4 linked regions of the Notamacropus eugenii genome follow. Each later gene encodes a partner of the first gene's protein in a complex. Links are inferred from orthologs where the notes say so. Each region holds a gene or a part of one and is shown in the gene's direction. Other genes may lie near its edges.

Evidence for each region.
Region 2: EXOSC2 (region 1) and EXOSC5 share a complex: the UniProt entries of both Homo sapiens proteins name them as parts of the RNA exosome core complex. The link is inferred for Notamacropus eugenii from reciprocal best matches to the Homo sapiens genes EXOSC2 and EXOSC5.
Region 3: EXOSC2 (region 1) and EXOSC6 share a complex: the UniProt entries of both Homo sapiens proteins name them as parts of the RNA exosome core complex. The link is inferred for Notamacropus eugenii from reciprocal best matches to the Homo sapiens genes EXOSC2 and EXOSC6.
Region 4: EXOSC2 (region 1) and EXOSC7 share a complex: the UniProt entries of both Homo sapiens proteins name them as parts of the RNA exosome core complex. The link is inferred for Notamacropus eugenii from reciprocal best matches to the Homo sapiens genes EXOSC2 and EXOSC7.

The regions. Positions count from the first base shown.
Region 1 is NC_092872.1:482,371,916-482,379,628, forward strand, and holds the start of EXOSC2 (exosome complex component RRP4), read left to right. Parts: upstream 1-4,705; 5' UTR 4,706-4,795; coding exon 4,796-4,917; intron 4,918-5,291; coding exon 5,292-5,393; intron 5,394-6,383; coding exon 6,384-6,429; intron 6,430-7,304; coding exon 7,305-7,394; intron 7,395-7,713. UniProt on the Homo sapiens protein: Non-catalytic component of the RNA exosome complex which has 3'->5' exoribonuclease activity and participates in a multitude of cellular RNA processing and degradation events.
Region 2 is NC_092876.1:29,841,232-29,848,269, forward strand, and holds the start of EXOSC5 (exosome complex component RRP46), read left to right. Parts: upstream 1-4,038; 5' UTR 4,039-4,124; intron 4,125-4,624; coding exon of another isoform or gene 4,625-4,833; intron 4,834-4,835; coding exon of another isoform or gene 4,836-5,045; intron 5,046-5,047; coding exon of another isoform or gene 5,048-5,264; 5' UTR 5,265-5,320; coding exon 5,321-5,456; intron 5,457-6,425; coding exon 6,426-6,539; intron 6,540-7,038. UniProt on the Homo sapiens protein: Non-catalytic component of the RNA exosome complex which has 3'->5' exoribonuclease activity and participates in a multitude of cellular RNA processing and degradation events.
Region 3 is NC_092872.1:713,908,010-713,914,805, reverse strand, and holds EXOSC6 (exosome complex component MTR3), read left to right. Parts: upstream 1-4,939; 5' UTR 4,940-5,022; coding exon 5,023-5,943; 3' UTR 5,944-6,286; downstream 6,287-6,796. UniProt on the Homo sapiens protein: Non-catalytic component of the RNA exosome complex which has 3'->5' exoribonuclease activity and participates in a multitude of cellular RNA processing and degradation events.
Region 4 is NC_092874.1:43,356,057-43,363,508, reverse strand, and holds the start of EXOSC7 (exosome complex component RRP42), read left to right. Parts: upstream 1-4,442; 5' UTR 4,443-4,581; coding exon 4,582-4,638; intron 4,639-7,452. UniProt on the Homo sapiens protein: Non-catalytic component of the RNA exosome complex which has 3'->5' exoribonuclease activity and participates in a multitude of cellular RNA processing and degradation events.

The DNA.
Region 1 (7,713 bases):
ATCTGCAGATAGGTCTGGAAAAACAGTCACTAGAACAGAGGAGAAGTTTTAGGGATTGTGACCCTTTGTAACAGAGAGGGATGCTGACTATGAATTATAGCGATGCACTGATTCTCTAAGATGAGAAAAAGAAAGAGCAACATCCAGGGAGAACTTCATGAGGACTTCATGGAGGGAGAAAAGGACTTTCAGGGCCAAGAGTGGGGAGGTACCCTTTTGCCACAAGTGTTCTCTGTCTATACTTTGCTTCACTGCCATTATTTAAGCCCATTGCCTTTAAATTTGTCAGCTCTCCCCATAGGGGTAACGTTTATAAACAAGGAGTGAGTATCCCTAGTTTCTTTAGGAGTGGGGAAAGTAGAATGTTTAGTACCAACTATTCTTTACCTTTCAGTAAATCCCTTTTTCTAAAAACTAATGGTGGCAACTGGCTAATTATTATCACACAGGTGGGCACACAGAAACTATAGTACTAGAAACCCCCTAGCATTAGGACTACCCTGAAAACCCTCAGGGGAGAAGTGGTCAGCCCAGCTCTGAGGACTTCATGTAAGGAAAAACTTTCTAACAGTTAGAACAATTTAACAGTGGAACATGGTATTAAGAGGTAGTAAGGTTTTCCTCGTGGGAAGTCTTCAAGGAAGGGCTGAGTGGCAACATGGGTATATTGTCAGAGGGATCCCTGTCTTTTTGGCCACGTTTGGGTTGGACTTAACGTCCCCCTATTCCCATCCTACACCTTCCCAGATCTCTTCAACCTTTGAGATTATGAGATTCTGATTATATGATTTTAAAATCACTACCAGTCCTATCATAAGGATAACAAGATATAGAAAAATAAAATCATATTTTAGTTAGAAGGATCCTAAAATGGTCATCCAGTCCAACATTCTGTTTTACTTAAGGTTAACTGGCTTGCTCAGTCACGTATTAGTGACTGAGGCAGTGCGACAGACTCTATATATGCATCCATATCCTCTGACTTCAAATGCAAAGTTCTTTCCCCAGTACCACACTGTCTCTTAGAAGAGATTACGAAAGCACTTTGAAAACTAAAGAGACATAAAATGTTTCATTTATTTTAAAATATATTTTATTTATATCATTAAATATTTCCCAATAACATGTAAAAATTTTTAACATACTTTAAAAAAAATTTTGAGTTCCAAATTCTCTCCTTCTCTCTCCTCCTCCCCCACTGCTTGAGAAGGCAAGAAATATGATATTGCGTATATGTGTGAAGTTGTGAAGACATATTTCCATATTAGTCATGTTGCAAAAGAATAAATGCACACACAAAACAAGAAAAATAAATTAAGAAAAATTTGCTTCAAACTGCCAGTAGAGTCTGTCAGCTGTATGAATTTGATTCTCTCTTTTAAAGAATTATTTTGTTTAGTGATCTTTTGAACCTTCTTTTCCATTTGGCTAATTCTGCTTTTTAAAGCCTCCTTCTCCTCATTGGCTTTTTGGACCTCTTTTTTCAATTGAGTTATCCTCTTTTTAAGGGTGTTATTTTCCTCAGCAATTTTTTTTGGTTCTCCTTTAGCAGGCTGCTGACATGCTTTTCAAGCTCTTGTATGGCCTGAGCCCATTTCATATTCATTTTGGAGGTACTGGAGGCAGAGGCCTTGACTTCCTCTGACAGTATGCCTTGTTCTTCCTCATCTGAAAGGATGGAAGGAGACACCTGTTCTCCAAGAAAGTAACCTTCTATGGTCTTATTTTTTCCCCTTTTTTGGGCATTTTCCCAGCCAGTTACTTGACTTCTGAATCCTTTGTCAAGAGGAGGGAGTCTGTCAGCTCTCTCTGAAAGTGGACAACATTTTTCACGATGGGTCTTTTGGAGTTGTCTTGTATCATTTTCTTGATCAGAGTACTAAGTCTTTCACAGTTAACCATTCTTACAATTGAGAAAGGAATCAGAATTTTCATATTAATGGACATGATAATGTGGAATGAATATACTAATAATTTAATTTTCTCAAGAGTTGCCTCTCCAGCTAGTGAATCAGACTCATAATGCAGTCAAACTTTGACAATGCTCACAGTTACCAACATCCTTGTGCCTACACACCTGAAATGAGGCTAATCAAAAATTATAGAGCCTGTTCTGGTTACAGAATTCTGGTCCTGTGATCCACCAAGTAATGACCTCCTAAAGACTCAAGTAATATTGCTCCCGCAGAACTCCAGAATTGTTTATTGTTTGTAATCCATCTTCCCCCCTCCCTTCCCATTGTGAATTATGTATATAATCTCTGTCTTCACTTAAGCAAGGTGGAATTCTGATTAGGGGAATTCCCAATTTGCAAATCTGTTCCTTATAGTGAAACTAATTAATTAAATAGCTACCTGATTACTGGCACTTTGTCTCTGGCCTGCTATTTCATCCTTCTCAGGTTAGAGACTGACTCAGTAAAGTCCTGTTAACACAATATTTCTGTCACTGTATATACTGTTCTCCTGGTTCTGTTCACTTCACTTTGCATCAGTTCATAGAAGTCTTCCCAGATTTTCCTGAAACCATCCTGCTTATCATACAATAATATTCCATCACAATCATGTACCACAATTTGTTCAGCCATTCCTCAATTGATGGGTATCCTATAGTGTGGCAGAAACTAGACATAGACCATAGACCAATGCCTGACACCATACACAAGGATAAAGTTCAAATAGGTATATGATCTAGATATAAAGATTGATACTATAAACAAATTAGTGGAACAAGGAATACTGTATCAGATTTATGGAGAAGGGAAAAATTTTTGACTAAACAAGAGATACAAAGCATTATGAAGTGCAAAATAGATAATTTTGATTACATTAAACTGAAAAGTTTTTGTACAACCAAACCCAAGGCAATCAAGATTAGGAGGGAAACAGAAAACTGGGAAAGACCTTTTGCAACTAGTGTCTGTGATAAAGGCCTCATTTCTAAATTACATAAAGAATTGAGCCAAATGTACAAGAATAAAAGTCATTCCCCAATTGATGAATGGTCAAAGGATATGAACAGGCAGTTTTCAGAGGAAGAAATTAAAACTATCTATACTCATATGAAAAAACACTCTAAATCACTATTGATTAGAGAAATGCAAATCAAAACAACTCTGAGGTACCACATCACACCTATCAGATTGGTTAACATGACAAAACAGGAAGATGATAAATGTTGGAGAAGATGTGGGAGAGTTGAAACACTAATTCATTGTTGGTGGAGCTGTGAGCTGATCCAACCATTCTGGAGAGCAATTTGGAGCTATGCTCAAAGGGCTACAAAAATGTGCATACTCTTTGACCCAGCAATATCACTTCTATGACTCTATCCCAATGAGATCATAGAAATGGGAAAGGGTCCCACATGTACACAAATATTTATAGGAGCTCTCTTTGTGGGTGCCAAAAACTGGAAATCAAGGGGATGTCCATCAATTGGGGAATGGCTGAATAAATTGTGGTATATGAATGTAATGGAATACTCTTGTGCTGTAAGAAATGATGAACAGGAAGACTTCAGAGAGACCGGGCAAGACTTATATGAACTGATGCAGAGTGAAAGGAGCAGAACCAGGAGAACTTTGTGCACAGCAACAACCACAGTGTGGGAGGAATCTTTCTGGTAGATTCAGTACTTCACTGCAATGCAAGGACTTAAATAATTCCCAATGGTCTCTTAAGGCAAAATGCCTTCCACATCCAGGGAAAGAACTGTGGGATTCGATTGCAGAATGTACCAGATCATTTTCTTTTGTATTATGTTTTGGTTTGTTTTATGATTTCTCCTGTTCATTTTAATTCTTCTATGCAACATGACTATGGTGAAAATATATTTAATAGGAATGGATGTGTAGAACCTATATAAAACTGTATGCTGTCTCAGGGAGGGAGTGAGAAGGTAGAGAAGGAAGAGGGGTAAGGAGGGGAAAAATAGAAGATACATGGAAGTGATTGTAGAACACTGAAAACAAATAAAAGAAAAAAAATTGATAGGTATCCCTCTCTAATTTTCAAATCTTTGCTATCACAAGAAGATGGACTATAAATATTTTTGAACAAATAAGTTCTTTCCCCTTTACTTTAATCTCTTTTTCCTACATATCTAGTATTGCTGGGCCAAAGGGTTTAAAACAGTTCTATAACCTTTTGGGCAGAAGGGTTGGACTAATTCGCAACTCTACTTCTCCACCGTTTGTCATTTTCCCTTTTTGTCATATTAGCCAGTCTGAAAGGTGTGAGCTGGTACCTCAGCGTTGTTTTAATTTGAATTTTTCTATTCAATAGTGATTCAGTCTAGAGCATTTTTTCATGTGGCTATTGATAGTTTTTATTTTTTCTGAAAACTTTCTATTCATATCCTTTGACCATTTATCAATTGGGAAATGAGAATCATAAAATGTTAAGGAATTAATGTTATTCTATTATTTAAAATTTTCCTTCCCCAAGCAATAATTTTAAGCCTACGACGTCTAAGTCCTATCCCCATTAAAGTAGTGTATTGGAGCCAATGTTAACGGCGGGGAAGGGGTCGCCAGTAGTAAATATGGGAACTTCATTTGCTCTTCCCCTTCATTTAAGTACTTGAAACTACTCATAGTCCTTCATTCCAATAAAAAAGATGGCCGTCCAGCAGCGGGTCCCCATTGGTAGCTATCTAAGTAAGTGCCGCCCCTTTTTCGTCCCGCCCCCCACTTTGCTCCGCCCCATTTCATTTTCTGGCTGCCAGTAGTTCTAGAACCGGAAACAGCCTCTCTAGGGTCGGGTGCGCTTGCGCGGCCCTCTGGGCTTCAAGATGGCGATGGAGATTCGGCTTCCTGTGGCTCGCCAGCGGCTACCTGAGAGTTTGGACCGGGACACGCAGAAGCACTTGGTGGTGCCCGGGGACACGATCACTACGGACACCGGCTTCATGCGGTGCGCGGCAGGGGCTCCGGTCAGGCTCCCATAGAGCCTTCCTTAACGTGCTTCTCGGGCTTCCTCTTTCCCTTCCCTAAGACCCGCGTGTTCCCGCCCGCACGAGTCTCTGTCCCCGCGTGTCCTTGCGTATCCCTTTCTTCCGTGGCTTTTCCCTGAGTGCCCTTGCAGGTGCCCACTGTCCTCACACCTGTTCCTGCACGGCCTTGGGTCCTCCCGTCCCTCTTCCCAAGTGTCCGTGCGTCCAGCTGCGTGCCAGGAGCGGCGCTCCACGATGGGGATAAGAAGGTTCCGCAGCCCCTGCCCCCCGGTAGCGCCGAGGGGGAGAGCAGGCGGGGCCCGCGGCCTTGGGTGACGGCTGGGTCTTGTTGCAGGGGCCATGGGACCTACATGGGAGATGAGAAGCTGATAGCCTCGGTGGCCGGCTCCGTGGAGAGGGTGAACAAGCTGATCTGCGTGAAGGCCTTGAAAACGAGGTGTGTCTGCTCCGCCCCGGGGGTGGCCGCGGCGGGGCTTTGGGGGGCCCAGCCTAGGTTGTAAAGCCTACTCTGAAGGTGGGGGAAATGGGGCTAAATCCTTTATTTATTTATTTAAACATCGTTAAGTGCAAGTGATACCGGCAGAAACCTCTGGAGAACGGAGTGGGGATGGACCAGAACTTCGGTTCTTGGTGTAATTCTGGATATTCTTTAACGGCAAACGAGCACTTCTCTTGTCTAGCCATAATTTTCCTTGTTAGGTTACGGAGAGGCTTGACATTTGTGTTAGTTCTAAAGCGGGAGTAAATTCCTCAAGGATTAAACCACACTCATATATCCTTGGTGGTATCGGAAAGTGAAATACTCTCATAGCCTTCAGTGACTTGTAGTCTAGCTGGGCTGAAATGCATAAAAAGCGAAGTGACACATAAGGGTTAAATGAAGCAGTACAAGAGAGGTGGTAAAGAAGTACAGCAACTAATCAGAGTAACAACAAACTTGGATCACTGCATTGAACAGTCATGACTCCAGAAAACTGGTGACAAAGCATGCCCTACATCTCTTGTCAAGAAAGTGATGGGCTAGAAGCACAGGATGAGACCTACATTTTCAAATCTGGCCAGTGCATTGAATTGTTTTGCTTAACTATACTAATTTGTTAAAATGGAGGCTTTCTATTGGTGTTGAGAGTTAGTGGGGATTGATAGAGATGTAGAAAAAAGGAAAAGATCATTGATAGGACATTTTTAAAAAGTGCACAGAAAATAAGTTCCAAATGGGACACCTAGAGCAGTTTTGTTACCAGTATCTTAAATTTAGTATATGCTTGAAAAAACCCAAACTGTTACAGAAGTTTACACTTTCATATACAATCCTTGTTTTTATTGCTTCTCTTCTGAAATATTTGTGTTTGTGGATGATTATTAAATTCATAGAAAAGAAAATTGAAAAATATAAATTTTCTAATGATTGACTTGTCTTTTTCAGGTATAATGGGGAAGTAGGAGACATTGTGGTGGGGAGAATCACAGAGGTAAAGTTTGAATCAAGAAGTTTGTTTTTAAAAAAATTCTGAATTTCACAAGCAAACAGGGAATGTTTCTATGTATATAAAGTAGAACAGAAGACAATTATGTGTGAAACCATAACTTTCTTGTATCCTTTAAAAAAGTATATGAGTCATCATGTTACTTTTAAAGTTGTTTTGCTTATGGAAATAAGTGTAGTCAACACATTTTGCCAAGCCCTAAAATGTACAAGTGCATCTTTTGTCCATCAACCTTCTTCTAGAATTGTGAGTAGTCGTTGATTTGGTTAAAGTTCTTAAAAGACTTTTGAGTTGAATTTATTTTTTAAGCTCCTTTCACTCATCTTCAGTTCATATAAGTCTTTCTAGCTTTCTCTGAAACTGTCACTTTCAACGACTCTTACGGTACAATCAGTCACCACTATTTTCCTGTACTGTAAGCTGTTTGGTGATTCCCCAAATGACTGAATACTCTTTTTGTTTCCAGTTCTTTGCTGCAACAAAGAGAACAGCTATAATTATTTTCATACACATGGATTTTTTTCCTCTTTATTTGATCTCTTTGGTGTGTAGGCTTAGAAGTGTCATTGCTTGATCAAATGGTACAAACACACAGCTTAGTGACTTGGGGCATAGATTCAAATTACTTTTCAGGATGGCTGAACCAATTCGTAGAGATTGTGTGCTTTAAAAAAAGTCAAACCTGTGACACAATTTTTGGTAGAGGACTGTCCTGTATTTTGTAATGCATGATTAGTTAAATTGTAATTTGTGTTGTTTTTGTTGCAGAAATTTAGGCTGTAATATTTGGGGTCACTGACTGTCCAGAGTCTGGATTCATGTAATTTGAGTCAGTAACTCTAGAATTTCTTACTTTGTAGGTTCAACAGAAGCGGTGGAAGGTGGAGACCAATTCCAGGCTGGATTCAGTCTTGCTTCTGTCATCCATGAACCTTCCAGGAGGAGAGCTGGTGAGCGTTTGCAGCTAAATTCCATTTTCCTGCTGTCCAGCCTTAGCTACTAAAGCTTGGGATTTCTACACAGACAGTGGACATCACTGGCATGTTCCATTATTGCTCTAAGAAAATGTAGAGGAAATTTACTGGTAGGATTAAAACATCATTCTTTTAAGTGATGGAGTGCTAAATTTTTTCAACATAGGCAATGTTTATTCTTACTTTAATGTAACATGAAATATTATTTGAAAGGTCCGTATACAACAAGAACTAAGACCCCTGGTTCTGTTCATTTTCCTGCTCCAACTCTGTACTGCTTTACACAGACAGCATG
Region 2 (7,038 bases), on another chromosome or scaffold:
CCTCCCTCCTGCTGCAGTCTGCACCCACTTTCTCTGGCTGCCTCTGCCCTACAGGTCCTGGATAGGCAGCACCTGGAGCACTGGGAAGGACCATGATAGGCTCATATGGTCTTCCTTCTTTCTGCCCAACTACCCTGGCTCCAGCTTTAGGCCCCAGCTCATGTGGGTAGAGGACATACCTGCCTCCCGATACTGCCCAAACACCAAGTCTGTGTCATCCAGGGCGGCTGCACTGCCCACGTGAGTGCCCTCCTCCCCATAGTTGGTCATGTAAAAGGAGATCCGGCCCTGCATGGAGGAAGGGGAAAAGAATAAAAGGAGGGCCCAAATAGAACATTGTCAGAGAAAGTGGGGAACCTCCCCATCCTTCTACACACAGCTTTCATTTTTCCCTCTCTGGCTGCACCAGCCCACCAGTCACTGCTCCTTTAAGCTCTGACTCTGAGCCAGACACTGTGCTGGGCCCCAGAGATCCAGAGGGTCGGACATTTTCTCTGGAATCCCCCATAGCCCCAGCACTGAGCAGTCACCTTTCCATAATGGGGGCTACTGTCTTAGCCACCCATTGTCAGCCTCCAGAAGAGGACCTCAGGCAGCCCGGGGTTTCTTGTCCCACTTGGGTCTCAGACTGACTCCTGTCCTTTTTTCCCCTTTAAGACATTCTCTCCTCTTCCCCTACCCTCTAAGGCAGGCTCCCAGAAGTCAGCTTTCTGAGTACCTGCATCTTGAGGCTACAGGCTTCAGTCTGCCCTGCCAGGGTCTCTTCCCCAAGCTCCAAGGGCTCCCATGACTCTTTTGACCCCAGGAATGGCCTTGGGGGGAGTGTGTCTAACTGTGGTTCCCCTTCCCAGAGGGCTGGACCCCACTTACCTGCCTCTGGGACTCATAAAGGATTCGGTCCATGGTGTTGAGAAGGGTCATACTTTTGTACAGCTTCAGGACCACCTCCGGAGGCAGCTGAGGACAGAGCAAGCGGAAGGGTGTGGTTGGTGGCAGAGGGCTTGGGGGAAAGGCTTAGGGGGCCATGAGACCCCTGCAAGGTCATCACCTGAGGGTCCTCGCTGGCATTGATGATCTGTCCTTGGCGATCCATAACCCGGTAAACGGGGATGCCAGAAATGACATTGGGTTTTATGAAGTCTAGCTTATCCACAAACTCAGCAGAGGCTCCAGGGAACTGGGGTTTTTCATCCAGGGATGAGAAATCTTCCTGCTGCCAATGGGCGGCCTGAGAAGAAGGGAGGACAAATGTGTCAGAAGGGTGGGGCCCCCACAAGCACCTCCCTCAAATATCAGCAAAAACCTCTTGTGCTTCTGCAAGGAGTGAGCTCTGTCAGGCATGCTGCTGAAGGGGCCTCCTCTCCACTGACACACTGGCCCAGTCACCCTCTGAGGTCCCTCCCAGGCTGCAGCCCTGCTCACATCTTGCCTCCCAAAAGAGGCAATACCCACTGGAGTTTCCTGCCCAGTTAGTTAGGGAGCTGGCAGCCATCCCTGGCAATGCCCTTTTGTGCGCCCAGCAGAACTGGTCACACAGGTGTGGCTCTATGGGGAAGAAGCCTGCCCTCAGGAAGCTTATTTGGGAGTTTGGCCTCCAGCCACCCAGGACAAGTAGAGACAAGGCCTAGAGGCCTTCAGAACTGATAGATCAGTTTTCCACAAAAGGCAGATGGGTGCCAGGGCATGGGTGTGTCCTGGCGGGAATACTAGATTTAGAGAGAAGCAGGCTTTAATCCTGGTTCTGCCAATTAACAGCTAGTGACCCTCCCAATAACCCCAGAGGGGAGGGGCTATAATCCCCATTCAACAGGTGAGGAAACGAGGCAGGCAGAAGCAAAGTAACATGTCTGGGATCATGAAGCTTGTGTGTGAGGCTGAATTACCAGGCCCAGGGCACCAACCACCGTACCACCAGCTGCCTCACTTCTCCCCAGGGGACTGTGGTCAATCCTTACAACTTCCTTGGACCTCTGTTTCCTTATTTATAAAGTTAAACAGGTGGAGTCCCAGGAGGTTTTTAAGAGTTTAGGGATGCAGTGGGTAGAATGCTGAGCCCAGATTCAGGAAGCCCTGAGTTCAAATCCAGCCTGATCTGTTTGCTAGCTGTATAACTTTAAGTCACTTACGTTGTCTGCCTCAGTTTCCTCAACTGTAAAGAGGGGATAATTATATTACTTCCCTACCAGGGTTGGTACAGGGAAGACCAAATGGGATTTAGCATACAGCAGACGCTTCATGAATTCTTATTTCCTTCCTTCTTGCTCTAAACAACAACCCTGGGAGGAAGATCCTATTATCACCACCAGTGGCCCAGCCGGTCTTCTAGCCTGCCTTCCAGCCTGCCCTCCTCTGCCCTTCTCTTTCACACCCCCATGCCTCGATGCCCTTAGGCAGAAACATTCTTTTATTACATGTGTAACTGCAGTGCTCAGCACATGGGAAATGCTTGATAATTTCCCAAATGGAAGGTGGTGAGGGTAGGCCCAGTCTGGCCCAGACAGACACTCCCTCAGAGACACAACTCTGGTCAACTGGCTCCTGCCCAGCCTTGCCCCTGCCAGGCACTTTACAATGGTCTTCCCTAAAGCTGCCTCCCAATGCATAGCCAGGGACCTTCTTCAGGCCCTCAAACACAGCAAACTCGTCCCCACTGGTTGGTTTTGTTGTTGGGTTCTGGTATCAGCAACACTGGCACCAGCACATGGCCCACCTAGTCTGGTCTCTGCCTTCAGAGTACATTTCCATCCATCACCTCAGTATATCCTCAGGCCTTTCCAATGCCAGGGCAGAGCTTGCACTGGATTCAAAGGGACAAATGGCATCTCTGTGTATGGCTTTAAAGTTTGTAAAACTCCTGACACATATCGTCTGATCTCATCTTTACAACAATCTATTTTATAAATGAGGAAACTGAGGCTCAGAATGAAGTGACTTGTTCACAACCAACTGAAGGTCAAAGGCTTCATGTTTTTGTGGTAACAGAGGGTATTCAAAGGATGAGAAAGAAGGTGCCTGTGCCAAGAGAAAGAGTTACCAGAGACAACTGGCCAGGACAATGGAAGACTGCAGATTGTGGGTGGCCTGAGAGCAGCCAGAGGCTCTAGGTGCTGACTGAGACCCTGGGGCTGGATGGGCACAGACAGAATGTCACCACTCCATCAGCTCCCCTCATCCTGCCCTGACAGTTACCGCCACTGCCCACAGGGACACATTCTATTCGTGTGTGTGTGTGTGTGTGTGTGTGTGTGTGTGTGTGAGCATCATGGGAAGGTCTCTTAAAGAGGTCTCTTTCCTCCCCAGTCCCAGTGAGTATGACTAGCCTCCCTTACCTGGACATAGATACTTGAGTGTGCACACTCACACCTCCCTAGCCAACCTCTAGTTCACACACACACAATCACTGGGAATCGGGGTAGAGACTGAAGCACAGTAAGGGCCCATGCCTAGCCCAGCCCCCACCCCATGGAAGCTCCTGGTCCCCCCACTTCTCGGTGATGCCTGTCCCATGAGCTGAGGGGATGAGGAAACTCCAGTTAAGATTCCTATACTGCTTTTAGGCTTACAAAGGACTATCTCATGTTTTTAAAATTCACTTTATCGATCTGCGGATCTTAAAAATGCAAGAAGGAGTTGATCTCAAAGGTCTCAAAGATAAAGGGACCTAAGGAAAAAAGTCCATAAATGACTCAGTCTCACAGATGGACTATCTTTGTACTGAGACTACCTTGGGTCAGGGGCTGAATCTTGTGGCTTTGGTCCCCTGGAAGGACTGGGCCAACTTCAGGAGGCTGACCCAAACCCAACAGACACTGTCAGCCCCATTCTCCCACCCCCCTCTGACTTACCCAGCCTCTGATCACTATAGACACAGCCTAAAGACCCCAAAGAAGCCCCTCTCCCCAACTCTGCCAGGGGTTTACCAGCCCAGGAGGCTCAGAAAGACTATGACCCGGCCAGCAAGGGGAGGAGGTAGCAGTGGACTCAGTCCCCGCCCCCATGATGCTGGTCGGGGGCCACCAAGCCCTCCCTCCCTTTCCAGCCCAGAAAGAGCCCCGCCACCAAGGAACCAGAAAGACCAGAACAGGAACAGCGCCTGGGGACAGACGGTTGGGAAACGAGACCAGGTGACCTTCCCCCGCCCAGGGGGCCCGGCCTCCCTCCCGCCCCCTGGCCCGGCCAATGAGCAGCAGGCACCTGGTCCCTGCCCAGCTCCCGCACAAACAAGTGGAGGCATCCCCACTGAGCTGGGAGCAGACCTTCTCGCTGCCAGGCTGACCCTGCCCTGGTCCTCCGGCAGTCCTGGGGCCCTCTGCCCCAGTCCTGCTTCCCAGGAGGGCCAGGGCTCCCCGGGGCCAGCCCCCTGCCCCTCCCCCGCACCACAGAAAGTCCGCAGGAGCCCCTTCATTCTACACTGGGCCCAGAGACAAGAGGTGTCCCGCCGAAGGTCACCCAGGTGGGGGGCAGGACTGCAGGGAGTTGGGGAATCCTCCCCAGCCTTTCGGGTCTCCCTGCTCCCCCCTCTCCTGGGGGGGTCTCCCCATCCCTCTCTCAGGGGCTCCCGAGGGGAGGGGTCTCTTTCTCTTTCCTGGCGCTCCCCTCGGGGTCCGGGGGCGGGAGCACTCACGGATCCCGCCAATCCGCGAGGGCCCCGCCGGGCCAAGGCCAGCCCCCCTCGCAGGGCCCAGGCTCGTGCCGCCGCCGCCGCCATCTTGACTGAAGCCGTTAACCGTCTCGCTCCGCGACCGCCACCCAGGTTCTCTCCGGGGCCGGCAAGTCCATCGCCTAAAAAGCTGTCCACGCCCACGGCCCCACGTGAGCCGGCCCCGCCTCCAAGCCACCCGGGACGGCCCGCGAGGGAGGCAGCCCCGGTCCGCCACTCCCCCTTAGCTCTGTCCCTCGCCTCAGAGGCCTCGGAGGCGGCGGCGCCTTCAGGCGGAAGTGCGGCCAGCCCTCTGAGCCCGGGTCCTGGTGCGCGCCCCGCCCCTTCACCTCCCCGGGGCTGGGATACGACCGCGGGCCATTTTGATTCCGCCTCCTCTCTCCAGCGACCTAATAGTTCCCTCTGGCCTAGGTCGGGGGCGGGGCTGAGGGAAAACGTGGAATCCAGCCTTTACAAACAAACTTCGCGCAAGCGCGTCGCGATTATGGCTCACGCGCCCTCTTCCGCCAGTCCAGAGGAGGTGGGGAGGGAGGTTGAAATAAGCCGAAACCACGTGCTCAAACAAACAAACTGCTTGCGCATGCTCCCCAAGACCTTCAGGCATGCGCCCTGGCCATCCCGGAAGTAGTTTTGTACTGGCCGGCCTTCACGTGGATTGAGATGGAGACGGAGTTCGCCCCTAGCGCCGGACCCGAAGCGGATCCAAGTTCGCGGGGTTCCGGCTGCAGCCTCCGGCATTTCGCCTGCGAACAGAACCTGCTCTCCCGACCCGATGGCTCCGCCTCTTTCCTGCAGGGTAAGGTGCCATCCTTCCGAACCTTTGCTTCCGGGTAAATACCCGTTTCCGGCTAAATACTCGGGCCCACCGTGAGGGATGGGGGGGGGCCACCATTCCTCAGTAAATTATAAGCACTTTTCCTCCTTCTGGAGGCGAATGCACTTTCAGCACAAGAGAGGGGCAGGTACCCCATTTACTCCCCGCACGTGGGTCAGTAGGTGCCCGTATAAATAGCGATCTCCAACGGGCCGGGGCGGGATCAGGGCTGTTGGTAAAATGCGCCCTTTGGGGGCCTCCCGTTGTCCTCCTTGTCCGGGGCCTGCCCACTTCGGGGTGCACGGGACAAGCTCCCGGACCAGTGAGGCCCCGCCCCCCGCCCCGCGCAGCCTCGTGTTGTGGCCTCGGGCTTCGCTCGGAGAGGCCTGGCGGGGCGGGTCTCCAGCCTCCGTCCCCACCCCCGAGGCCTCCCCTGCTGGCTGGAGGTAAGGAAACCCGCAGGGAGTGGGGAGCCGCGGGCTTCAGTGGAAAAGGCCCGAGTTCTCATCCCGCCTCTGACACGGACTGGCCGGTGGAACGAACCCCTTCCGGTCTTAGTTTCTTTATCTGTCAGGTGGGGGTCATAATAACATTTATGTAACGGGGTTGTTGTCAGGAGCCAACGGGAAACTTGGGAAGTGCACGTCAGCCCTCCGTAGCTCTTATCTTGTCCTTCCCAACTCTCTTCTCGCCCCCATTTGGGTTTTTCCTGGAAGAGATACTGGGGTGGTTGGCCACTTCCTTCCCCATGTCCTCATTTTACAGATGAGGAAACTGAGGCAGCCTTGCCCAGGGTAAGTGTCTGAGGCCAGGTTGAACTCAGGAAGATGAGTCTTGACTTCAGGTGGTGTCACCGGAAGCCTTAGCTGTCATCAAGGGCGTCTCATATAGAGGGAGGTGGGGGTGCTCCCGGAGCCAATGCCTCTTCCTCCTCTGCACCCCTCTCTGCAGGTGACACCTCGGTCCTCGTTGGAGTCTATGGTCCGGCAGAGGTCAAAGTCAGTAAGGAGATCTTCAACAAAGCCACCCTGGAGGTGATTCTGAAGCCCAAAATAGGGCTGCCTGGTGAGCAGGGAAGGGGGTGGGACGCCTCCCCCATCGCCAGAAGCAGACTGAGGGAGCAGCTGATGTTACAGGGATGTTGTCCGGGGCTGCTTGTGTGGTAGCCTAGAGCCGGGGGCAGAGAAGAGATCACCTGCTGGTGATCAGGGGATGGTGAAAACAGACTGGAGCATGGATCCAGCATGGTGAGAAATAGGAAGAGTTCAGAAGCCTGGGAAGACTTCCAGGAACTGATGCAAAGACCAGGCAGGCAGAGCTGGGAACAGGATAGGCCGCAGTGAAACGGGAAGGAACCGAAAGGTGCTCTGTAATCCTCTTCTGTAAACACTGCCCAGCTGTGACTTCCTAGAGAAGAGGTGTGCCTTCCTCCTGTGTTTGTAAAGATGAAGGAAAGAAAGCTTTTATTTTGTAAAATTTCTATTTTTTCCATGTAAAGATAATTTTCAGCATTCACTTTTGTAAGATCTTGAGTTCCAAATTTTTTTCTCCCTCCCTTCCCTCC
Region 3 (6,796 bases), about 230 Mb from region 1:
AAACGGTCTGGAACCCCAGAGCCATTTGGTTGTCCCAGAGAACTTTCTGGAGAAGAAGGAGATGGGGAGCTTGGGGTAGGTGGGACTTCTAAAAAATGACCCTGTCTAATGCCTCTTCCCTAAGCTACTGCTCCGAGGGCCTGCTTCTGTCTCTGGGCTCCTGGGAAGGGAAGGTACTTGAACCAAACCCTAGGGATCCCAGCAAGAGTAGCAGAGGGAATGGAGGAGGGGGCAGTCATCATGGCACCAGGCCCTGGCATGCATAGTGAATGGGAGAGCAAGCCTTGGAGGCAAGAAGGATAGCCTCTGGTCCCTCCTCTGGCATGTGCCAGATGATCCTGGGCAAGTCGCTAACAGCCCTCAGCTCCACAGAGCAGCTCGTTAAGATGATAAACTTTGAGCTGATGCAGCTCTCTGACCTGCACCTGGGTCCAGTTCCTGTCTGGAATTGAAGGTGTGTTGTGTTCTCTTAGGAGATCAAGCCCCACTCTGGTGAGTAGGGCCTGAGTGTCAGTGGCACGGGGTGCTTCCCAACTGAAAAACAGCTCTGTTGACCTGCCAAGATGCATGTCTCTAGTACTGAATAGCCCCAGGCTGTGCCCTCCATGGCCTCTGTTCACAAGAAGAAGACAACCACTTGGATACTTGGCTCAGGTTAATCCTGGCGAGAAGCAGTAGCTGGGCTTCCAGAAGAATTAAGAAGCCCCTTACTCAGAAGAGCCTGGCCATGAGGAGGGGCCGGGGCTGTGGTGTTCAGCAAACTAGCAGCACCAGCTTCAAACCAGGCTGTGACTGCCTTCACAGACCAGAGAGCCTTCCAGGGAACACAGCATGTACAAGAAAAGGGATCTGAGGACAGGTGGCAGCCAGGCTGAGTCCTGAAGATGGCCACTGTAAGAAAGGGGTGGGTTACAGGCAGAGGTGGCGTTTCTAGCCCGTGCTGAAGAATGAGTATATTATCCTAGGGGCTGGAGGAGAGCCGTGGGAATGACTTTGTCCACTGTATGAAAGATGGGAGAGGGAGAGACCAGAGACAAGGTGCAGGGAGGCAAATGGAAGCTTCTAGTCCAGGTGGACTAGGATGGTGAATCTGGGGGGAGGGAAGTGGGGGATCATGCAAGAGACGTTTGAAGGAGGTAGAACCCACTAAACTAGACGATGATGAGAAAGGAATACGAGGTGAAGAGGAGAGAATCCTCCGGGGCATCCTCCAAAGTAAGCAGGAGGGGTCTAGGTGGAAAGAGATGTTTCCACTTTAGTTTTATCTTTAAGTGACCCACACAAAATACCCCCAACTCAGGATCATCTTTAAGTGAGTTTAATGTCAGCCACCTGGGACCAGCGCTGGTCACGGTATTGGATGCAGATACCAGGGCTGTTTGGTAATGGCTTTGTGTATGCACTGGTAGTGGCATGGTGCATGCTGGTCTTCTGCTTCTGCTTCTTTGCTCTATATCAGCTCAAGTCTTCCCAGGAAAGTCCAGAATCCTTCCCCAGAACTAGCTCGAAGGCCTGGCCAGCCTGGAGTCTTTAAAGGCCAAGACTGTTCTCGGGCTTTCCAATTATGAACTTAAACGTCAACAAACATTTCAATGTACAAAGAACAGAAAAGAGGCTTGCTTGTGAAACTGAAACTTAGTTTTTTAAAGTATATATTAAATTTAACATAGTAACAAAACTGCCTGATTGTTTTCCACTTCCAAACTTTATTTTATTTTTTCCTTACTCTCACTAACCAACTCCCTATCCCCTACTTCCCCTCAAACAGAGGCCCTTCCTTGTAGCAAAACGTATCAATGCAACGTGTGCCTCGACCTGCAATGGATTCCATCATCTACCTGTTTGCTAAAATGGAAAGGTGGGACCCCTGCTTCATCCTCAGTCCTCTGAAGCCTTGACCAGTCACTACATTGCCCTGAGTTCTAATGTCTTTCAATGTTTTCATTTCTGTTTTTTTCATCAATCAATGTAGAAATTGTTCCCATTTTCCTCCCTTCACTTTAGGTAACACTTTCTCCCCTTTGATCAAGTCTAGGTTTTTTTAGGAAGACAGGGAAAATGTAGATTGTACTGATGGAGCCAACAGATGAGGAAAGACAGTAAACAAGAAAGAATCATCAAATGGCCTGACTTCAGCAGCAGCAGCTTCCTCAGCCTAAAGTAAAAGACAGGAAGACACAGACGGGTTTGGATATGTGGGCATCAGCAGGCACTCGATGAGCTGGCTCCTCCCAGGCAGATGTGCAGAGTCCTGTGCAGGCCTCTTGTCCTTTGTGTGCTTTCAAGATTGCAGAGGTACTAGAGCTCGTGTATGTAATGCTTTTAAAGTCTGCCAATCACCATCCTTGCAGCATGTCTTCTTGTGAGGAAACTGCAGCAGGATCCTCACTTTAGGGAGAAAATGCTGTTGAAGCTCTTGAAATGAAATGACACTGTCCAGGTGAGATTTGAACCCAGTGCCTCTGAGGCTTGAGGAGATCTGAAAATCTACGAGGCAGTGGTTGAGGGGATAGGAAGTGGATGAATGAATGAATGAATGCATTAAGCACCCAACACACAAATCACTGTGATGCATTCATTCCCTATCAAATATCAAGCTTTTTATTAAGCACGGCCACTGGTATGTCCCACAGAGCCTGCTGAGTGCTGGGAATACAGAGAAAAGCTGCACAGCGCTAGGCCTAAGGACCTTCCACACAAAAGATCAGACGAGCCAACCTGGGACAGCAAGGCCACCTTCTGTGGCCCATGCTTAGACAGACTCTTGAGGGAAACCAAGGATTCCATGGACCAAGGAGAGATCAAATTGTGGGGGGTGGAGATGGGGTGCAAGCATGCAGTGTGAGGGACACAGCAAACCCGAAACCCTCCAAGAGAGCATGGGCCTTTGTTCCAAACAGAGGTCTGCCTGGGCAGGCAGCATCCTCCTTGCAGTCTAATGTTCAAACCTGTCATCCTTGCCTTTTCACCACACATACCCCTCTAAAATAGGGGGAAGCAGCTACCATAGCATAGTCAAGAGTTCTGCTTTCCCAGTCTCATAGATTCTGATAGTATTTAGTTAGCATTTTAAAGTTTGCAAACCACAAATATCTGATTTAATTCTCACAACTCTGGGAGGAAAGAGGTTAATAATGTGTCGCCTAGGATCACACAGCTAGTGTCTTGAGCCCAGATTTAGAGACTCCCCTGCCACCTCTGCCTCCAGCCCCATTGCCCAGGGACCACCACCTGGGTTACGCTCTTTTCCCTGCTTGCGTGGACTCCTTCTTTACTTCATCTCTCCACCCCATCCCTCCTTCACAAAACTGCCTAAAGCACAGGTCTGACTATATAGCCTTCCCCTGTTCAATAAATCCCAGTGATCCTATTAGATGTTCTAAGATTCAGCATAAATTCCTGGGGCATCAAATGCCCTTTACTAAACTTTCCAACTTTTCACATACTTTGTGGGCCCTGCCAAGTGGACCTTACTTCCCAGTGCCCACAACACTCCCATCTCCAATCTTACAAAAATCTTCCAGAATGAAGGACTAAGAACCACCAATACCTCCGACACACTCCTTCCTCACTTGCCTGTTTGAATCCTGAGTTCCCTTCAAAACTCAAAATCAAAGACCATCTACAAGAACCCTTTCCTAATCTCTGATTCCCTCTCCACAAGCTGCAAGTCAGTCAGGGTGGAATGGCGGTAGGGTGAAGATAAAACTCAGAATGGTCCATATCTAGACTCTAAAGTTCGCACAGCATTTCAGAGACGTTGCATGTAGGTTATGGAGATTGAGATTACTGAAAGTGGGAGTCAGGGTGTCTGAGAGGACATCAGCCTCCACCTTGAAGCCCCAAATTTGAGGGTTGGGAGTGGAACAAAAGGACCTAGGGACTAAATCTGAAAAAGGGAGGACGACCTGGTTGCCAGTAGAATGGCAGGGTGTTCTGCACAGCCAAGAATATTATGCTTCTGTCCAAGGTACATGGGGACCTCTCTGGCTCGGTCTGTCCTGGCACCAGGGCAGAACAGGACACATACAAAGTAGTGAAGTCCTGGTGGGACTGGAAGTAGAGAAGAGCCTGACCAAGAATCTTAATGGTAACTAATGGGCTGTGGGGGTGCTGCCCTCTGAGGTGCGTACAAGCCTGCAGATGCCCTGGCTGCAGCCCTTCAGGCTGCATGCATGTCCGCGGGCGCCCTCGGAGGTGGATGCTGGCCCGCAGGTGCCCTGGCTGCAGCCCTTAGAGGTGCATGCATGTCCGCGGGTGCCCTCGGAGGTGGATGCTGGCCCGCAGGTGCCCTGGCTGCAGCCCTTAGAGGTGCATGCATGTCCGCGGGTGCCCTCGGAGGTGGATGCTGGCCCGCAGGTGCCCTGGCTGCAGCCCTTCAAGCATGCAGGTCCGCGGGTGCCCCCGGAGGTGGATGCTGGCCCGCAGGTGCCCTGGCTGCAGCCCTTCAAGCATGCACGTCCGCGGGTGCCCTCGGAGGTGGATGCTGGCCCGCAGGTGCCCTGGCTGCAGCCCTTCAAGCATGCAGGTCCGCGGGTGCCCTCGGAGGTGGATGCTGGCCCGCAGGTGCCCTGGCTGCAGCCCTTCAAGCATGCAGGTCCGCCGGTGCCCCCGGAGGTGGATGCTGGCCCGCAGGTGCCCTGGCTGCAGCCCTTCAAGCATGCAGGTCCGCGGGTGCCCTCGGAGGTGGATGCTGGCCCGCAGGTGCCCTGGCTGCAGCCCTTCAGGCTGCATGCAGGTCCGCGGGTGCCCCCGGAGGTGCATGCATGCTCGTAGGCGCACGGGTTGCCGCTCTCGGAGGTGCATGGGAGCCTGTGGGTGGTGCCCTCAGAGGTGCACGTGCGTGGCCTTCTCGGGCCCAGGGCGCCTGCGCACTCGGAGCCCGAGGACGCTCGCACTCCCCCGGACAGCAGGGGGCAGCAGCGCTCTCCTCAGGCGGGCGGAAGCTGCGAGGGCTCCACGCCGGCCGCGAGCGGAAGCGGCCGGCGGCGTGGGACGCGGAGGCGCCCGCGAGCCGCAGTCATGCCCGGAGACCACCGGCGCATCCGCGGGCCCGAGGAGTCGCAGCCGCCCTCGCTGTACGTGGTGCGCTCCGGGCCCGACGACGACGACGACGACGGGGACGGGGCGGCGGGGCCCCGGGACCCCTCGCGCCTGCGGCCGGTGTACGCGCGCGCCGGGCTGCTGAGCCAGGCCAAGGGCTCGGCCTACCTGGAGGCCGGCCGCACCAAGGTGCTGTGCGCCGTGTCCGGGCCGCGGCCGGTGGAGGGCGAGCGCGCGGGGGCGGCGGGCGGCGCGGGCGGCCGCCTGGTCTGCGACTTCCGGCGGGCGCCCTTCTCGGGCCCGCGGCGCCGGCGGCCGGCGGGCGCGGCGGGGGCCGGCGGGGGCGGGGCGGAGGAGCGCGAGCTGGCGCTGGCCCTGCAGGAGGCGCTCGAGCCGGCCGTGCGCCTGGGCCGCTACCCGCGCGCGCAGCTCGAGGTGTCGGCGCTGCTGCTGGAGGACGGCGGCTCGGCGCTGGCCGCCGCGCTCACGGCCGCGGGCCTGGCGCTGGCCGACGCGGGCGTCGAGATGTACGACCTGGTGGTGGGCTGCGCGCTGAGCCGCGGCGCGGGCGCCGACGCCGCCTGGCAGCTGGACCCCACGCGGCGCGAGGAGGAGCGCGCGGCCGCCGGCCTCACGGTGGCGCTCATGCCCGTGCTCAACCAGGTGGCCGGCCTGCTGGGCAGCGGCGAGGCCTGCGCGGCCGAGAGCTGGGCGGGCGCCGTGCGCCTGGGCCTCGAGGGCTGCCAGCGCCTCTACCCGGTGCTGCAGCAGTGCCTGCTGAGGGCGGCGCGCCGGCGGGGGGGCGCGGGGCCCGGGGCCGCCGCCCCCGAGAGCCTCGAGGCCCCCGAGGCCGGGGCCGCCGACGGAGAGACCCCCGAGGCTGCCGACCCCGTGGCCTGAGCGGAGGACTGTACGGACCGCCCCTCATCGGCGCCCGCTGCCCTGGAGCCCCCGCCGCAGGAGCGGACCCCCCATCCTCCTGCCCCGCACAGCCCCGGGATCCCCGCCCCCAACGAGGACAGCGTGACCCCCGAGGCTGCTGACCCTGTGGCCTGAGCGGGAGGACAGGTGGAATCCCCCCTCATCGGCACCCGCTGCCCACGCCCGGAGCCCTGCCTGGACCACGGACCGCATCACTGCCCCCCCCCCCCCCCCCCCCCCCCGCCTGGTGGGACCGAGCACCTCGGGGCCACCGAGCCAGTTGTTCGTTTGTATCGAATAAAAGATTCTCTGGTGTTTTGCACGCGGGCTTCTTTGTGACGCCTTCTCTCGTTCACAGTTTGCCCCGCGCGCCTCTCCTCGTTTCCCCTCTGAGGGCCAGGTAAGGGGTGGCTGCTGTGTGCCAAGCCTCGTGCTCTGACTGCAGGGCGGGGCCGGAAGCCTGTTAGGCGGTTCTCTGCCATCGCAGGGCTTGAGGCTGGTCCGCCTGCGCCAGGTCCGTGCAGCTTTGGGTCCACTGGAAATCCGTGGCCTCCCAGCACCCTGCTACAAGTTGTCTTGGGACCCTCCCCCCCCCCCCCGGGGCCAAATTTAGTTTCGCTCAAGGCATGTTTTTGTCCCCCAAGGTGGTCACAGTTGTTGGATGTGACCCTAGAGAGTGCCACCTTTGAGGTTGCTGAGGCACTGCTGAGACAAAGCTGTAATGCATTTAAAGGAAACACTGCCTAAGGCTGGTGCTGCTGCTCAGACTTCACTAAAAAGCAGCTGTGCACCTCCCTGAGCAGCTTTGCCCACCCACTTGGTCTCAGTTTCT
Region 4 (7,452 bases), on another chromosome or scaffold:
CTAAAAACTATACATAAGGACCTCTCTGGGCAACATGTTTTTTATTCTAAGTTATCGTGTTTAATATTTCCCAATTACATTTTAATTTGGTTCAGGCTACGCTTGGGAAGTGTTGTAGGCTGCATTGAGGCTACATTTTTGACACCTCTGCTCTAAAACAGCAGTTCTTCTCCTCTTTTTTGGGTCTTGGATCCTCATTCTGTCAGTTTGATGAAGTGTACGGCCCTTTAGAACATTTTTAAAAACACACACAAAAATATATAGCTTTATAAAGGAAACCAATTATGCTATAATGCAGTTATCAAAATATATTGAGTCCAGGTTAAGAATGCATCTGTCTAAAGACATGCATTCCTCTCTCCCTATGCAGCAGTTCTGGAGTCAGCCTTTTCTTCCCACCTCCAATCCAGTAGACATCCCGGCTAGGAAAATCTTACTTTGAGACATCTCTACTTTCTCTATACCAAATATCCATCTTCTGTTCCTAAAATCCAGTCTCATATCACTCTAACCACACAAGTTTTCTTTAGTCTTTCAATGCAACACACCTCTGCAAAAAACATACCCCTACACGTCTGCAGCATGGGGACCCTTGGAGGTGACCTTCCCTTTGCTGACTTGACCTTGTCTGTATGTTGTCATCTGCATGTTGTCTCCCCCATCAGACTTTGACATCCTTGTGCCATTCTTTGTACCCCCATTTCTTAGTACAGTGCCTGGTACATAGCAGACACCTAATAAATGCTTATCGACTGACTAGCTGATGTATTCCCACTCACTCATTTTACAGATGAGGAAACTAAAACACAGTGAAGTTAAGTTACTTACAGCAAAGGTCACATCATTCGAAGTTGTGCTGCCTGAATTGACTACAATCAGGTCATTTGACTACAAAATCAATACTCCTGCATGGCCACTTTGTATGGGAGGAGTAGGGAGAATGATACCATCTGTCTCCTCTTCCAGTAGCACAAAGTCTTAGATAGTAAAGAACCATGTGCTTTTTACCTCAGTTCAGTGAGATGGAGCCTTGTGGATACTCAAATATTAACCAATAAAAAATTCTACTGAGAGCTGAGGCAAGGGGGAGGGTGGGAGGGTTCTTAGCAGGGTGCATTAAAGTGCTTTCAAAGGTGATTAAAAATGGCCAGATGGGAGTACATAGGCACCAGATATTTTACTGGAGAACATTCCATACTGACAAAGTTTGGAGGAAAGAGTCGTTTTACTTTGGAGAAAAAAGAGGATTCAGTGAGAGTATGAGTTATTAAAACTCAACTTTTTCCATAATAGCTCTTTAAAATCCACTTTTTTCCTTTGACAAATATCGTTTGAAATTTCTTCTGCCCAGTCTTGATTACTAAGAAAAATGGATTCCCAGGGTGATCTTAGCCTTACCTTGCAGGTATTATGCATTTAAAAGACAATGCCCACCTCAACCACCACAGCAAAGCCAGGGCTTACGTTTCCTTGGAGCACTGCCTAAAACTCACCACCTACCCAGAAAAATGCTGGAACTAAGAGGCCTGGCTTGTTGGCTAGTGGAGATGGCTACAGCTGGGCCTCCTCAGCCTCTCCTTGCCCGGGCGCTAGGTCCTCAGAAGCTCCTTTCTCAACATTCATTCTGCAGCCCTCCCTCGAAGACAGGCAAGCACCAGGTTTTCAAGAAATGCTGCTAGTGCCTGCCATGGGTCACACGATATGGCCAGATTCTATTTGCCACCCCCTCCCCCCCAACCTTCCCCAGTCTCCAAGCAGACCATGGGCAGCAGCCTCCTACTGGGCACCATGTCCATCATGAAGTGCTCTTCCACTCACAGCTGTCCCCTCCCACTATCAGTCAACTCACAAAAAGACCAGGAAGTGAGCTGCAAGGAAGTATTCCTCAGTTCCTTCCACAAACTACTCTCCCCTTAAAATCTCAGAAATCGAGAAAAGAACACCCCCACCCATCTTATCAGATTTAGGTGGTGAGAAGTAAAAAGGGAAGAGTCAAAGCATGGGAGGAGGGGAGGAAAGCCTGGGCAGAAGAGCTTCAGATGGAGGGGGGTATTCATCACTCAATCCCAGACGCACAGAGCTGGAAGGGACTTCAGAGGCCCTATCATTCTAATAATTAAATAGTAATTGCTTCTCTTTTACCCAGGAAACCTGAGGGTCTTCCTCTCCCAGTTCAATTTTTTTTTAAAGGGGTAACTATTTAATTGAATGGGTGTATCTCACTCAAAGTGAGAACATGATAAGACCTTAACCTGAAAGGGCCAGGGTCTCACATTGCACTTATCAGGCCACTGGATGCTGATGGCTCAGGAGAAGAAAGCGAGGCCAGTGACCTTGCACAGCCCTCCCTCACTCAGATCAAAGTCAACTGCAAGTCATGTCATCGTCTTGATGTCACGGTCCTCTTCGAGAACAAAGGACAAACACAGCAACAATCATTCTACCAGTAAAGAAGAATCCTCTCTATAGCACATGGGTCATGCAGTATTGGCTTTGAGACGTTCAGAGATTGAATTGTTGGGGTGTTTTTCCTCACTCCAACCCCATCCCCCCACACAAGAGCCCTTCAGTTGAAGATGGCCATCCATGTTGCACAGTCCCTTCTTTCCCCCTCACTCCTGCATCTTTTACCTGCCTTTTACCACCCTAATCCCTCCATTCTTTCTGGAGAGTATCTTGTCAAAGTCCTTCCTAAAAGGAAGGGACCCTAAACAGAACATAAGATCCAGATGTGATCTGGTGAGAGAAGAAAACTGTGGGTTGAGTACCTCCTTAGTTCTGGGCACTGTCTCCCTAAAGTGGACCAGTATGGCATCAGCTACTGTGGTCAATGTATATGACACCATTAACTCATGCTGAGCTTTGTCGATGTAATTAGCTATATATGTCATTTACAAACTTGATAAGTTTTTAATATGTCTTTATCCAATTCACTGACTAGAAAAGTTCAAATAGCACAGGACCAAGGAGGCAGTGTGGCACAGTGCAAAGAGGGCTGCATTTGAAGTGAAAAGGCCTGGGTTCAGCTCCATCTGTGCAACCCTAAACAAGCCCCTTATCCTCTCTGGGCACCGGTTTCCTCCTCTATAAAGTGAGGGGGCTGATTAAATGACTCTGAGGTTGAACTAGTACTAAATCTACTCTACTATCTACCCAACAAACTTTTATTCATCAGCATTTACAACATGCAGAGCATTCTGTTAGGCAATGAAAAAAAATCACCTACATAAAGGTTTAGAAAGGCTTTCAGCTCAATCTTGGGAGATAGATCTGTATTAGTCTTCCCACTTTATAGATGAGGGAGCCGATTTTGAGGAAGGTTAAGTGATTTGCTCATGGTCACACTGCCAAAAGTCAGACTGGTTCAGAGATTTGAATCTTCTCAAAATCCAGGACCTTTTCGCCTTCGAGCGGAGGTGAAGAAAGGAAAGAGGGGAGGCAAGGGCAGGGGCACAAGGCTGTGGGGGTAAGGGGAGGCAGGAAGAGGGGCAGGGAAAAGAGGAGCGAGGGGAGAGACAGAAGGTGATAGGGGATGCGGAAGAGGCAAGTTGAAAAAGGGAGCAAAGGATAGGGCAGGGGAGAGACAGAGATCGAGGGAAGGGCAAGGGGAACAGGGACCAAAGAGTAATGCGGGGACGGGGTGAAAAGTGGAGGCGGCAAGGGGGGAAGGGCAAAGGGAGGGGCGAGGGATGATAGTGGAGCGGGGGAAGGGAAATGGGGAACAAAGGGAGGGGCAGGAGAGTAATAGGGGAGCAAGGGAGGGGCAGGAGGTAATAGAGAGGGAGGAGGGAAAGGGAAGCAAAGGGAGGAGCAAAGAGTAATAGGGGAACAAGGGGAGGGGCAGGAGGTAATAGAGAGGGAGGAGGGAAAGGTGAGCAAAGGGAGGGGCAGAAGAATAATAGGGGAACAAGGGGAGGGGCAGGAGGTAATAGAGAGGGAGGAGGGAAAGGGGAGCAAAGGGAGGGGCAGGAGTAACAGAGGAGCAGAAGGGGGGGTGATAAAGGAGAGGGGGAGGGGCAGCAGGTGGCACGCGAGCAGGGGGAAAGGGCAGCTGAAGAGGAGTGCCGGACGGAAAGGCAGCAAGTGTGGGACCCGGGAAAGTGGAAAGGGGTGAGTGGTGGGGCAAGGGGAGCACGCAGCCCCGGGGCAGCGGCTCGCTCCGGCAGACTTCGCTAAACTCCGGCGCCCAGGAAGAGACTCCCGGCCGGCCGGCAGGTGCCCCGGCCGCCCTCTGGCCCTCGGTCCGTCCCCAGCTGCCCCCCGGCGCCGCCGCCCCCTCGCCCTCCCGCCCTCGCTCTGGGGGCCGCTGCCGCTCCGGGGCTCGGGGGCCGCGGCTCCCGGGACTCACCCAGACTTCGGGGCGGGGCGCAGGAGCAGCCCATCGGGCTCTCAGGCGGGAGGCAGCAGCGGCGGCAGGAGCGGCCGCCGCTCGCTGATGACGCGGCGGGAGCGGCCCCAGGGGCCCTGGCGCGGGCGGATGACGCCACAGTCGTGCGGGGAGCGCGACGTCCGGAGCGGCGCCGAGGCGGAGGGCTCTGAGGCGGCGGCGACGGCGGCCGAAGCGTGGCCGGACGGGGCCTCATGGCGTCCGTGGCGCTGAGCGAGGCGGAAAAGGTGTACATCGTGCACGGTGTGCAGGTAACGAGCGAGGAGGCGAGGCGAGGCCCGGACCCCTCCTGCCTCGGCCCCGGCGCGCTCCCCCTCAGCCTTCCCAGACGCCCCCTACGCGCGTGCGCCCTGCCCTCCCTTGGTCGTTCGGAGGCTCTGCGCGCGCACGTGGGGGCCGGTGTTTGGGGAAAAGGCTTAGAGATGGTCTACTGTAGAGCTGGAGTAAGGGATCTCAGACTACCCTTTCTTACAGATGGGGAAACTGAGGCCCCAGGAGGAGAGTAAGTGCCTGGCCCCAAGCCCCGTAGAGTTAATTAAGCTCGGAGGACTGTGGTGAGCCTCCAGTGAGATGTTTGTCAAGCTCATTGTAAACGTCTGGACGTGTTAGTGTTCCCCAGAGTCGGTCAGGCAGCAGAGAACTGGAACCCAGACCGTCCACCTCTGGGTCAGATAAGCTGCTTTTGTCTGTTAAGCGCTTCTTCTGGCCCTGGCCTCCCCTTCCGAGGTGGCCTCGGCGCTTGGCGGCATCCTGATGTTACATTGTAGCTGCTCAGGCATCCTCCTGTTACATTGTAGCTGGGCTCGAAGTCGGGGTCCGGAGGCTGGCACTTTCTCTGACTCCCCGGAACTGTGGTTTTTATCCCAGACGAAGAGACCTACAGAGCACCTTTCTTTAGCTCCAAACGTTGCCCGGGTTAGCTTCTCCCATCAGTACCATAAATTTCCCAGATCCAGCTCGGGTTGAAGGAAACTCAGAAGTTCCTGTTAGAAATAGGGTAGGAATGTTGGACCCAGAAAGGGAAAGTATTCCTGCCTACCTGAGTATTACCTCCCCGAATAGCAGATGATGTACTCTTTGTCAGAGTTCTTTGAAAAATAACAATTTTATAGGTGGGTGAGGTGATGTTGTGAAAAAGATTTCACAGTTGGCACAATTGCATTGGAAGCTAAGACAGAGCTGTCAGTTACCCCTAGGATTTGGCAATTTACGTACCAGAAGGTGTTGGGATGGTTTATTTGGCTTGAAAGTTGGCAATCAACCTCTGAAAGCGACATCCCTTCCCCCACCCCCCCCAAAAACCAGAAAACCACAACAAAATGTCAGCCTTTCTCTGCTGTCATCCTTACTGTCCCAAGCCACTGCTACATTCTATTGCCTCCTTTCCTCTCTATTGCCCTTCTCCTCCCCTCCATATAATCACACTTAAAGCTAGATGCCTGCCCAACTCATTATGTTTTATTGGCTAGGATCATTAGTCCTCTCTGTTGTAGATTAATGCAGATTTGTTTTTCAATTGTTCCTCTCTGCCTTCTCCATTATCTCTGTTTTATAGCTGAGGAAACTGAAGTACACAGTAGCAATTTACCCTGGTTGAATTTTCAGCCTTAAGAGAAATAGAGAGAGCTCGATTCCATCTTTTTAATCTCCAGTTTATCCAACTGGACCATATGCATTCTCCCTGGGAAGCTGGGGAAGTGGAAAGGAGAGCTATTAATGAAGCTTCACTAAACAAATCACCTGGGTCTTCCATGGCAGTTCTTTGCATGTGCCACATTTAGTCACTTGACTTCCTCCACAAAAGGATGCTTTTTCACTATACCAGGTTTGGTTGGATGTGTCTGAAATTATATCTATTTATTTTGCCTCTTATTTTCTTTTTTTCACACCTTGCTCATCCCCTCTCACTGGGAGTTTAGTCACCTTGGGTCAGATGTCCATTCTGCATTTCGGTATTTTGTCTCTAGTAGTGTCAACAAGGCATAGGGTGTTTTTTTTAAAAACAAACCCAACAGTTTGTTAATCCCCCATGGTTTATCCTTTGCCCAATCTGTCTAGTCTTGACAAGAACATGTCCCCTAATTCTGTGGTGGCTATTTTTAATGACCTTGGCTGTACAACAACATTTCCACAAACTATTGCATGGAATCCTACTGTTCTATGTGATAGGGACAGAAGTTCCATGAGAGTTATAATTATACTTTTCTAAAACATTAAATATGAAATTATGTCTTTACAAAAAATTAAATACAGCATCTTTCAGTATGAAAATAGGGTTAATTTTCTCTCCTGCTCCATAATTTCATAATTTCCCACTCTATTTAAAAGTTTAAAAATTTCTTCTTAAGGGAAGTTTATTTTGAGGTTTGTTGGTGGGGGAGGCAGGGAGGCAAATGGAGCTACACAGCTAGTGTCTGAGGCTGAATTTGAACCCAGGTCCTTCCGACTCCAGGGCTCGTCCTCTATCCACTGCTCCACCTAGCTGCTCTTGGAAAATGTTCTTTAAAGTTTTATTAATACTTTTACTGTCACTTTGTTATATAACATTGCCTCATCCCTCTCTTGTAACTACCCCTCCCCCAAATAATCCACTTATACAAAATCAAACAATACAGCATTTGTATCTGATGATGTAGGCAACATATGCTCCGCTACTCCATTGTCTCTTCCTAATGGGCAGAGAAGTGGGTTCCAATGTCTGTCTTCTGGTCACAGCATTTACTCTTACCTTTGTTTTTGTGTCAGAGTGGTCATTGTGTACATGTTAGAATCACAGAATTTGGAAAGAACCTCAGTGGCCGTCCAGGCCAACTGAAATCTGATCAGTTATTCTTCTGCTTTTGCTTCGTTCAACCCTCCTCAGGTCACTTTGGCAAACCTTTGTTAAGTGCCTACTGTGTGCTAAGTGCTGGGGATGCCAAGACAAAAACAAAACAGTTCCTGACACCAAGTAGCTTAAATTCTGCTAGGGGGAAACAACATGGACATGGATAAGTAAAGAAAAAGTAATGTTTTTGGTGAGGGAGGAGCAGAGAGCACCAAAAAATAGGGAAGGTTCCATCACT